3 linked regions of the Oryza sativa Japonica Group genome follow. The protein of the gene in region 3 interacts with the protein of the main gene of each other region in a pairwise test. Links are inferred from orthologs where the notes say so. Each region holds a gene or a part of one and is shown on either strand. Other genes may lie near its edges. The genes, in order: protein rough sheath 2 homolog, E3 ubiquitin-protein ligase BRE1-like 1 and probable protein phosphatase 2C 37.

Region 1 (4,194 bases), on a different chromosome or scaffold from region 3:
TAAGAGGAAAACAAGCACATGAGAAATCAGATCATGTACAAAAAATTTACGTATTTTTAGTTCAATGTAGAGCACTTATCTTACAGATTTCAAGTGTAGTAAGTGTGTAAGCATGAACTTTGCAAACAGAAAAGATCAAATCTTCAGTTCAGAAGAAAGAAACGACACACTGCAGATCAGGAATGGCTTGGCATGGTTTCTAGTTGTGCTAATCTAGTCAAACAACCAGTCAACCACAACCAGTTTAAATGCAAATGTTGATACAGAGTAAAGTGATTACCGTCTGGAGGGAGCAAGAAACTGGCCAGAACAGAAGCTAGGGCTGTGATAGTGTAAAGTTAGTTGCTTTATTCATTGCAGCATTTATATGTTTCAGTTTGGGGTGTCAAAAGCAGGGGAGTTAATTTATTTGTTCAGTGATCCATAACTGTGACCTGCACACTCTACACATCCTACTTACTACCACAGTACCACAGATAAAGCTTATACATGCTCCTCTACAACAACATTGGTACTAAATTTGTGCAAGATTATTCCTTTGACATTATACAGTTAACTACTCGTTCAGATAACAGTTAAAGCACAGAAAATGACAGAGAGAGAAAAAAAAAAGAGAAGGCTGAATTGCTCCAATTGGTTCTTTGGAGGTTGCAAGGGCCAACCGACCATAAACACTATTGGTAAGTAAGAGCATTGTTAAGCACCCATGATTCATCCAGCTATTACTATCAACATACAGACAAATTCACAGATGTCAGGACAAGTTGTGGGCACAATTCTTGTGAGAGGAAATAATAAGGCTACCACTGTTTTCTCGCAAGCTTGTCTTCCATCTTTAGCAGTGTCACCATCTGGCATTAATTGGGAGCTGATCAATGGGGAGATAATCTGCCAAAACACCTACCTAATACCCTCAAGAAGGCTACAAAATAAGGGAATGTGCAAGAGGCAGAAGCAAATCCAAAGTAAAAGTGATGATTCTAGGACCATTTGGAGCCCCCACTGGTTGCCTACTAATGACGAATTAAAGCTATGGCCAGGGCTAATTGCGCACGAGATGGAATTTTGATTTGGACAATAAGGGTTAGTTGGTTAGGTGTCTCGAGCAAATTTGACAAATCGAAAACCAATTTAATTTGCAATAAATTCACTCTATTTAATATGGCACCTCTTTAGTTTTCACCTAATTGTAATGAAGGACTCATGAGAGAGAAATGCAATAAAATCTGCAAGAATTTCACCTAGAACATCTTCTGAATTCTTGCAAGCAATATGCTTTTGATTTTATTTTTTTTAAGTTGAGACAAAACAGTTGTTTCTAAAAAAAAGTATTTATAAAAGGGATTTATAGGAAACTTAGGATTCCTCAAGAGTGGTCTTGTGCCATCCATTTCATCTAGAAATTCAAGCATTAACCAAGAAGAAACAAAATGAAAGAATGTTGAAAGCATGGTAGTAGGCCAAAGAAATCAATGTGTTGTTGTTTGTTGATCTGATTGGATTGGACCGTTGTATCCTCCTTGGCTAGATGTTACTACCACAGTAGTAGTACTGACAAATTGAAAGCAGTGTGGGGGTATACTATACTATACTACTCCTATACCACAAGTATACTGAAACATGGATCTGTGTTGCTGGGTGTTACTATCTTTCAGGTAACTAATATAGCAAGTTCTCAATTACTGACCATTTTGTTTTTTTTTCCTTAGGTGGTAATTTTCATGGAAGTGAATGTTCCAAGGGATATGGGCTGAGAAGCAGGTAAAAACAATCATGAAGTAATCAAAGGAGGAATGATGAAGAAGAAATGGCATCTCTGGAAAATCTGTACTGAAGAAGTTACTTTGTTTACCTCTCTTGAGTAGGAGGAAACAATCCATAAACCCCCAAAAGTACTCTGGATAATAGCATATTTCAACTAATTATAAAAAAGAAACATTTGAAGAGGAAAAAAAACAGAATCAAATCTTCATATCTGGGAGCAGACTAGCAGTAAGTAGAATCCCCCTAAATACATTATTGGACCATACAACAATCAGTACAATAATGCTGCCATTGAAGATTCAAGAACTAGGTAGATGTTTCAATCAAGAACACAAATTTCACCCACTAACCACAATCCATACAAAATCCACAAAAGTAGTTTCACTCACCATATCAGAGGCAACATTTAACCCCAACCTAGCAGATTATCTATCCATACTAACTAAATCCCAACTGGTGAATCAAAAGAAAGAACTAAGCAAACTGACAATCAATCCTTACCCTGAGAGCACATCCTCTACCAACTTCCCTACAAGACAAGAAATCTAACAGAAAGATCTATTGCAGAAAAACAGACTAGCAGATATAGGAGAGACAAAATCTGACCAAAAACACCCAACATGTAGAGCCATACAGACCAAGAAACATGAACACAAAAAACATAGTAACAAAGCAACCCACAGAACAGCTTTCTTCAGAGCACAACACACATGGCACCTGCTGCATTACATCATAAGCTCTACACTACTGAAACTGCTCAAGAAACTGAAGGTAGTAGGATTCACTTACAGAAACGCCACTGCACCATCCTGCTGCTCTGTTCTTGGACCTCCCTGGAGCTCAAAACCCCAAATGATTTTAAGAACAAGAACAAGAAGAAGAAGAAGTCCCAAGAACACGAGCAGTGGTTAGTACTAGCAGTAGTAGTACCTAGCTAGAGAAAGGCAAGGACAGTGAGATGTGAGCTGAAAGATTCTTGTGAGCCTCCCACTGAGAGAGAGAAATACAGAGAAGACTCTCTGTATATGGAGGCAGTGGTGAGCAAGCTCAAGTAAAGGAGGTGGGGGACAAGGAGCAGCGAGAAATTAGGGCACGCGAGGGTGGTGGTGGTGGAAAAGACGGGAGGAGGAGAGGAAAAGGGCTGGGTGGAAAGGAGAGGCCTCTGTATTTATAGACAGAGAAAGAAACAAAGAAGCAGAGAAAGAAAGAGATGGAGAGAGCTAGACTAGTCACTGCAGCTGCAGCAGCTGCAGCAAACAGTGCATGCATTGCAATGCAATGCAATGCAAAGAAAGCACCATGGCCACACCCACACATACAGCTGCTGCTGCTGCTGCTGCTAAGCTTGAATGCACATGGACTCATGGAGATGGAGATGCTGGAGATGTGCATGGTGCATTGGTGCCATGGTCCATGCAGCAATGGATGTGAGGTGAGAGGTGAAGGCTTTGCATTTGCTTTTGCTTCTCTTGGAGATGACTGACTTCACTTCACAGTGTGGGTGTGATCAGAGATGGCACTGTTGGAGAGGGAGATGGGAGGCAAATGAATATCAATATCAAATATAATTTTCTGAATGTTTGTATATGCATTTTCTTGCAGCATGCATGCATGCATGGACAGGGGAGATGATCCATACTCTAGGTGAGTCCAGATGAGATGAGATGGTTGCCTCTTGTTGCCAATTTTTATTTCTTTACACTGTGCTGGTACAATGGCCGTGCATGGATGAGCCATCATCTGCATTATTTTTTTTGCTGCTGCTGTAGCACAAAACTGTGCTAGGAATTTTCTTGAGAAGATGCATGGTGAAATGGAATCTACTCCCACCAATCTGGCTGCCACCCAGCCCAGATCACAGTACAATGTTTGTAAAAAAATCTCCAATTCTCCACTGCTCAACAAGCCAGATGCATGAGAGTCGTCGTCCGATCGCAATCCAACGGCTTAGTAGTAAAACCATGTAAAATTTTATATCCTCTCATCGTCTACATGTTAACTTACTGAGCTTAGCCAAAATTTGAATTTAAAAGGTTATATTTTAAGTTGATTTTAAGATTTTTTTTCTTCTTAATCTATTTTCTAGTATCGTCTTTCAAAATCGCTAATAACACTAATATAGAAGTTTGAACATAAATTATTTTTGTCTGATTCATTCATAGTAGTCAATGAAGACTGAGACTTAATTGATTGTATTAAAATAATACTACATTTCACATGAAAACTCCTCCCTCCATTCTAAAATACAACGATTTATAGGTTGTTTAGCAAATACTAAATTTAGGTCCAAATATTCCCTTTTAATCACTTCGGTTATCAATTTTTAAATTTTGAATTGTTTGAATTTCACTTTCAATCATCTGATTGGCTTTGGAATCATTAAAATGATTGTAATCATGAGAATCAGTTTTGGAATGCTTACATTTAATA
Region 2 (4,135 bases), about 23 Mb from region 3:
TGTATCCATACACCATCCGCCTTTACTTGTAATTGAGTAAAAATAAGTAGAAAATATGGTACTAACAAGCATTGTGCATTTGAACCAACTTTATCCCCAATACGACAATCACATACATCATGTGTGTGCATAGAGGACATGTTTTTTTTTTCATACCATCATGTTTCATCCCCTGTTCCCCACGTGGTATGCTTCTCTAGGACTACTTTTCCTCGACCAAATGGTTCATATATATGTATCTTTGTATTTCTGAACATCTTAGTTTTCATCTTGCCTCTCGACAGTTATCATGCTTTAACCTTCCGTTACCAACCTACCACATTAATGTTATGATCGACCGATATTATCACATGTAGAAACCAGAGTATTGCTCATGTCCGTCATGTGGTAAACACTGAAACCTTAACTAATAGTATTAAGCAATAGATTATTGGCTAACCTCTCTATATTCATGACCAATTCAACTATGGTAAAACAAAATTTAAAATGAAAAAGACCAAGACTACTTCAAAATAACCATATTAACCTTTTCTTAAAAACAAGCTATCTGAGTTAATTAACAAGAGTTGCAACCACATGAACCAACAACTTACTATTGCTTAGTAATATGACCTTGTATGGCACTGATAATCAAAGCTTTACATTGAAAATTGTAATACACTGGATTCACACCGTATAAAAAGAACTTCATATGAAAGACTTATCATGAAGATCAAATAATGCATGTCCTAGGTTCAGGTGCCAGTACTTGCTTATACGCTACTCCCTCCGTCCTATAATATAAGAGATTTTGACTTTTTACTTGCAGTGTTTAACCATTCGTCTTATTCAAAAATTTTTGGAATTTATTTATTTTGTTTATGACTTACTTTATTATCCAAAGTACTTTAAGCACAACTTTTCGTTTTCTATATTTGCACAAATTTTTTGAATAAGACGAGTGGTCAAACAGTACAAGCAAAAAAGTCAAAATCCCTTATATTATGGGACGGAGGGAGTACCTGTTAATTTTAAAAACAATATTTTATCATATATATAACAAAATAAATAATTTGTGACAGTAATCTATATTGAACATTGTCGTTCTCACCATTCTGGGCTGGCTGTTAAAAGGCCGACTGACGGAGGTCCAACCCTATGCCCGCTGGTGTCCACTGTCCACAGAAGCACGGAGTCCGTGCAGCGGGGCGAACAGCCGCCTCCGCCCGAGATAACTCACTCCGCCTCCCCACACGCATATTCTCTCTCCTCTCTGCGCCGTTCGCCTAGCTCTCCTCCCCCCCTTCTCTTCTTTCTCCTCACGGTTCTCACCTCCTCCCCCCTTGACAGTGCACACGCCAAAACCACCGCTAACTCCCACCTCTCGCCCACACCTCCCTGATCCGATCCCTTCCCCCCTACAACCCTAGCCGAATTCCGCCTCCGCCGCGATCCGCTCGTCCCGCGCTCCAATTCCGTCCTTCATCCGCTCTTTGTTTTTTTTGCGATTGTTTTTTTGGGTGCGATTGGTTTGGTGATCCGCGTGTTAGGGTTCGGGAGTCGCCGGGGCGGGGGTTTGGGTGGTGGATTGGACCGGTAGGTGGCCGGGAGGGTTGGCCCTTGTGGTTTCGGGGTTTGGTTTCACCCGCCGCATGTGGAGAATCGGAGGACCTGGGAGAGGTTAGGGTTAGGGTTATGGGGAGCACGGGGGAGCCCGACCGGAAGCGGCGGCTCAGTAGCTCCGTCGCGCCCGGCGGCGGGGCCCCTGTTTCTCCTGCCAAGCGGCTGGCGGTTGCACCCACCTCCGAAGATAAGAAGGTATTTGCGCATCTCGAGCCAGCTCTGTATCGTTTTGAGTTAATGTTTATGGTGGTACCGTGTTAGTACTGTTTGTTTGAGTTCATGTTTATGGTGGTAGTACTGTTTGATATGTTGTTGTATGATAGCTAGATGGTGGCATGGTGACTGATTTTTAGCTGTTTTGTTATGTCATGGAATCCATACATCCGCTAAAAGATCTATTGTGGACTGTTTGAGTATAGATCGATGAGTTTATTCTTGACAAGTGTTTGATGCTTTTGTACTTATGCTGAGCTCTATGCAATTGCAAGTCTTGCTGTGTTGTGGTCGTTAGTGGAAGAAGCCCTATGTATATTGCCTCCTGTCAGAGTGAAAACAAAAATACTAGTAGGAATGAGCTATGCATTATCCGTTTCGGATTCTGCAACTATTGCACGATTGTTTATGGTTCTTTAGAGCAATTGATGTATTCTATAATTATTACTCGGTGATAGATGGGAGGCTGACTTGTGAAATTGTTACTTGACTTACATTGCATTCTTGTTTTCCCGTGTTCATGATAGCAGAAAGTGGCAATTCCTTGGTAAACCTTCGTATTTTGAGTTTTTTAAATGATCTTAGTTTTTTGTGGCTACATTTATGGATATTGAAATGGTTAACTTTGGACTAGTAGCGGATCTAGAAGTTCTCTTGAGCTTGGGCAAACCTAAACGAATGGGCTAGATTATAGGATTAATAAGTATTATTTTTTTGTCAAAAGTAGATAATGGCTGTTGGAGAACTGTGTAGCTTTGGCCTTAGGCTGATGGCAGCAAACATTGGTGTGAGGCTGTGTCTTGACTCCTTTGTTGCTTGCATAGCTGATTTAGCCTCTATTAAAAGAAGCAGATTAAGCAGGGGCATTAAGTGGTAATCCACTGGCTAATACGGTGGAGCCCGGGCACCTGCCCGTGGTGGCCGGGCCCTAGCTCCGCTGCTGCTTTGGACAAATTTAATTTTCTTGCTGGCAATGATACCATAATGTGCCAATGCTTATTTACAATCATAGCGCCTTTTATTTTTCCATAGCATATGCTATTGTTTTTTGATATAGATAAAGGTCTAAATTGGGTCGTTAAATTAATATTAATGAAATTTGTCACCAAGTTACTACTGGTGACAACTGACAATTAATCGCTGTTACTACCGGTGACAACTGGCAATTATTCGCCTACTTTGTTATTTAATTTTACAAGAGGGAAATATGGGAAAAGATTGGTTAAATTTTGGGAGGGATAGGTCAAGGGTATAATGGCATGTTGGATGATACCTTTTATGCGTTTACTCATGTGTTACCGTATTTGGTCCAATATGGAATATCCATGCACAAAACCTTTTTTTTCTTTTGTCCTGTAGCATGAAATGAACCTATTTATCATGTTGGTGATATCATCAGTACGGCTCCTTTTGTGTTTATGTTCTGTTTTGGCTCTGCTCTTCTTCAAGTTGTAAATAAAAGATACTTGAATGTTGGTTCAGCTTTTCTTTTTATGCTTGAATTAGTGATTTCTCTTTGTTGCCAAACACATATCTTTAGTTTTGATTTCGCACACTGCCTACTTATATTGTCTTGTTTGGCAGCTCGATTTTACTGTACTCAAATACAAAAACCAAAAGCTCTCAGAGCAACTAGAAGCCCACAAGTTTGAGTATCGTGCTCTTGAAAATAAATTCGCTGGGCTAAAAGAGAAGCAGAGGACTCATAATGAGACACTTTCCTTGGTCAACAGTTCTTGGGAACAAGTAAGCTATTATTTTGTGCATGTTTTACCAAAAAAGACAGACTTTATAATGTTTCTTCCTGAATCCCTTTATTTGATCAGCTTGTGGCAGACCTGAAGTCAAGATCTTTTTGCAAAAGTGGATCTCCTAATTCCAGCCCTGGTTCAGGGCACAACAATGTACAAAAGGGTATGACTTCCTTTATTTTCTAAAAACATCCCAACTACATTTTCCTAGACAGGTTTTGAAATATGGGAGTGCCATCTACTCCCTCTGTCTCCTCATATAAGGGATTTTGACATTTTGCTTGCACTGTTTGACCATTCGTCTTATTCAAACATTTTTGGAATTAGTTTTTTTGTGACTTATTATCCAAAGTACTTTAAGCACAACTTTTCGTTTTTTATATTTGCACAAATTTTTTTGAATAAGATGAGTGGTCAAACAGTGCAAGCAAAATGTCAAAATCCCTTATATTATGGGACGGAGGGAGTATTTAAGTAGCAAATGATTATCACTATGGAAAAACCTTTTGATCTGGTCATCTTTGTGGTCCATTGCTCTTGTGGCAATTGTTTAAGATAATGCTGCTTGG
Region 3 (3,836 bases):
GCATATTCAGGGAGTTTGCACTTACCCCTACTCTAGGAATATTTGGCATCACCAAACATTTCAAGCATGCTTATAGCATGCACAGGTAATACGAGCACGCAAGTATTGTGATGTGAATGTGGCGTGTTTAGGTTTTGTACGTACGTCTAGTTGCCTAAAAGACCAAAGAGTTTGAAAAGGGGAGGTGGTCTTTTGTCACTCTCCTTGTCGCTTATGCATATATGCTTTATGGAACCGTTTATTAATTACTAATAACTAAAGTAAAATAGTTTAAATTCTAAAAAAATTAATTTATGGGTATAACTTATCCTTACTGATTTATAAGCACATACTGTAAAAAAGACTATAATTAAAAAAATCACAAAAACACCTTGAAAATTAAGTTTTAATAAGATGGCTTATAAACATAAGCGAAATGAGACTATACATGTCCCACTTTGATTTGTCAGTAACTACATTTGATTGGATCATAGATAGATTAACAGGCATCCACAAAAAAACAGTAACTGCAAGCCACAGGGCTCCATGAGAAAATGGAATATAATAATAAATAATGTACATAATGTCTCATGACATTTTGCATATTTGCAATTTCTTTTTTGTTATCTCCTTTTATCTCTATGGATGGCAATGTTTGCATCCATTCTCCTTTTTTTTTTTCCACTGGACTCTTCCCAGTGAACATAACCGACAAAGAACTACTAGGAAGCTAGTAAAATTGAAAGAAGAAAAAAGAAAGAACAAAGAAAATTTCAGAGTTCAGACCACCCCAACTTTCAGAAACAACTCCTCCCTTTGTTCTAACAACCACTACTAGAGCTTGCTTTTGTGAGGGTTGAACATAACAAAGGCTAAAACATGAAGGAAAATGAAGCAGCCAGATAAATTCTTATTGTGATCTGAGACCAGGCTACCTCCATGATCTCTGCCTACCCTCTTCCTTTCAGATCAATCACAACGACACTAATGTTATCTGAACTCTCCCTGCCGAGGGCGAGGCGCGCAAGGAGAGCAGCGGCACGGTAGCAGCGAGGCTCAGATTCTTGGCCTACCGCTGCTGCCGGAGCACCGGCGCTGCTGGAAGCGGCTTCGCCGCTCCTAGCTGCGCGACGCCCACTGGTGGGGCTCCCGTCTTCAAGGCATTGTCGAGCGACATCGCTGGCCGTCTCGTTTGAGATCACATCCCACATCCCATCGCTCGCGAGGATGAGGCATTCGTCGTCGACGGTCCTCACGGTTATGGTGATGTCTGGCTCACATATGACTTCAGGCTTTAGGTACTTGTCTCCTGCGTGAACATATTTAGAATAATTGAGAGTAACATACATGATACTGAATTAGTTTACATAAAGAATCTCATAAAGTAAGTAATATACAGGAAAGGAAATAAATTTTCAAACATTTCAAATGGTATTGCATTGAATTCTAGTAAATGAGAAGATTCATGGTATTACATAGTATTTTCAGGAATCCTATTTAGTTTCATGAAAGAAAAAGGAGAAGATGACACATATAAACCTAACGAACTAGTGAAATCGAGAACATTATTATGGCTACGGCATTTCAAGAACTCCATCCAAATATTTAAGCCACAGATACCTCTGAAGCTACAATGAAAGGATACACAGGGACCAGCCCTTTTGCAATGAAAAGCTTAAGCATCAAAACAGGGGCAAACGTGAGATGCAGAAACATAAAATATTCTATAACCACTCAGTAACTACTAGAATGTAGGGAAATTTGTACTGCCTATATCAAGGGAAGGTGATGTATCATGTATAAGCCTATAATGACAAGTTGGACAGATAAGTATTTTGAAAGAACACATTTCCTTTGACCTTTTGGGCCAAGTAAACTGCTTCCTTCTGCTGCACATAAATTATATTATCATTATATTAATTAATCTACTATATAAAGTAGGAATCTTCATTGATTCAAAATACTTAATAAGTGATAAGTAGTGTGGTGCTTCCTATATGTGAAATGGGCAATTCCTACAACCAAAATGGTGTGTCTGTAATATAATACAACCCTCTCCAACTTGAAACCTGATATATAAACATACTACCACTGAACTCTAGTTTAAAACAGAGCTTGTGAGATAGACAGATAAAAACTATTTTAAGAAAAAGTGGTTTATCAGAAACAACATCAGATCTGCAGAGACAATATTTTCTATGTTATTTGATTATAAACATTCGATATGAAGTACAATTATATAGTTTTGAAATCAAATAGACTGACAAGGTTCTACAATGGTGCAAGTTGAGCTTTTCTCTATTGTCAAAAGGTCCAAATTATTACTACCCAAGGTATTTCCTTTGTCAATCCTGAAAGCTAGATTAAAAAAGGTGTAACATCACTATTGGGAACTTAGGATACAACAGAGGACAACGTCACTAGCCTAATCAAACATATATGTCCCACTTATTTATGAAGATCATTTCTTTTAGTCAGTTGGTTAGGTTACAATCAGAGCAACTAATAAAAAGAGCTAGCACTTTCACAGATGGTGAATCAGAGATGAACGCGTGTCTTTTATGTCTAATCCATCTTTCTTCTTTCAGACATCTGATAATATAACTAAATGAAATAACACCATACAGGCACTGCCAAATGTTAGGCCTAATGGCTAAAGTGAGATGGACTGGGTACATATGGTCATTTTCTTGATAAGCCAGATAATATGGCACAAACCGGTGGGGTCAGTGATGTGACTGTGTATCAACTCAACAAACTGCCAAGTAACATCTACTAGAAGCTCATTAGAAGCTGGAATTGTACCTTTTATCTTTGTCATAGTTAATTGTATAAACCACAAAAAAAAGTTGGTACCTTCGGACAGATGCAAATATCCTATGTAACTAAAGTGTAAAAAACCTTAAATTCATAGGGTACCATGCTATTGTCATATTCATAACCTTCCTGCCACGAAACTTGCATATAATACTTATTTTCCTCATAGTCTTAAAGCAGGAACATCCTTATTTGACCTAGATTCTGTCACCAGGCAGTTTTTGATTGGTCAAGGGGTGGAAAGATGCAGAGCAATAGGTTCCTTTTTATGTTTGGAAGAACATGCAGAGCGACAAATGTAACCACCCTTTGTGATATAGTATTACCTTCCGATCTTTTGTTTATTTCCATTTCCCCCAACCTCGTTGGGGGCAACATGATAGTTTAAGAACAACTGGACACGTCTTAGAAACTGACTTGCCAATGGAGCTTCAGTGGTTTAGCCCAATGATCAAGCAAAACCAAAAGGCTAGTGAACAATAAACAAATGATATCCAGAGCAACTAAACTAGAATGGCAAGGCATTACCAACCATATATAATTGGTCTCCCTAACTCCAGATTATGTGCACAAGTACAACTCCTGACTACTTCTATTAGAGCAAGTTTAATATTATAGCCAACTACTAGCTCCAATTTATCTATAGCCAATCTAATAGCTCATTTATACAATAGTTACATAATACACTATTAATACCTGGTCCCACCAGTCATACACACACTGCGTATTGGAGTCTGTGCTATAGCTGGCTACAAATCTGTAATCTGCTACTCTTCTCTCTCCTTATTTATCTTCTTAAAATATGTTTGCAGCTGGCTTATAGCCTACTATTGTACCTGCTCTTAGCAGACTTCTTTTCGAAACATTTACTCATTGAGTACATGTTTCCGCGTGAAATCAAAACCCACGCCAAGACGAACACGTGAGCGACAGAAATTGGTTTTATTGTGGCTCCAAGTTCTATCCAAAGCTAGCTAGCTACGCAAACATTCAGATTGTGCCACCCACTGCTAGCTGTATCATGTGGTCTTAAGTGAATC

What was found.
Region 1: the proteins of probable protein phosphatase 2C 37 (region 3) and protein rough sheath 2 homolog interact in binary tests that used the Arabidopsis thaliana proteins (3 or more experiments, as listed by UniProt). The link is inferred for Oryza sativa Japonica Group from reciprocal best matches to the Arabidopsis thaliana genes AHG1 and AS1.
Region 2: the proteins of probable protein phosphatase 2C 37 (region 3) and E3 ubiquitin-protein ligase BRE1-like 1 interact in binary tests that used the Arabidopsis thaliana proteins (3 or more experiments, as listed by UniProt). The link is inferred for Oryza sativa Japonica Group from reciprocal best matches to the Arabidopsis thaliana genes AHG1 and HUB1.

What each region holds. Positions count from the first base shown.
Region 1 is NC_089046.1:24,247,797-24,251,990, forward strand, and holds the start of protein rough sheath 2 homolog, read right to left. Parts: upstream 2,904-4,194; 5' UTR 2,554-2,903; intron 1-2,553.
Region 2 is NC_089038.1:28,062,252-28,066,386, reverse strand, and holds the start of E3 ubiquitin-protein ligase BRE1-like 1, read left to right. Parts: upstream 1-1,302; 5' UTR 1,303-1,674; coding exon 1,675-1,797; intron 1,798-3,399; coding exon 3,400-3,561; intron 3,562-3,641; coding exon 3,642-3,729; intron 3,730-4,135. UniProt on the Arabidopsis thaliana protein: E3 ubiquitin-protein ligase that monoubiquitinates H2B to form H2BK143ub1. H2BK143ub1 gives a specific tag for epigenetic transcriptional activation and is also prerequisite for H3K4me and maybe H3K79me.
Region 3 is NC_089038.1:4,736,022-4,739,857, forward strand, and holds the end of probable protein phosphatase 2C 37, read right to left. Parts: intron 1,289-3,836; coding exon 930-1,288; 3' UTR 504-929; downstream 1-503. UniProt on the Arabidopsis thaliana protein: Negative regulator of abscisic acid (ABA) responses during seed germination.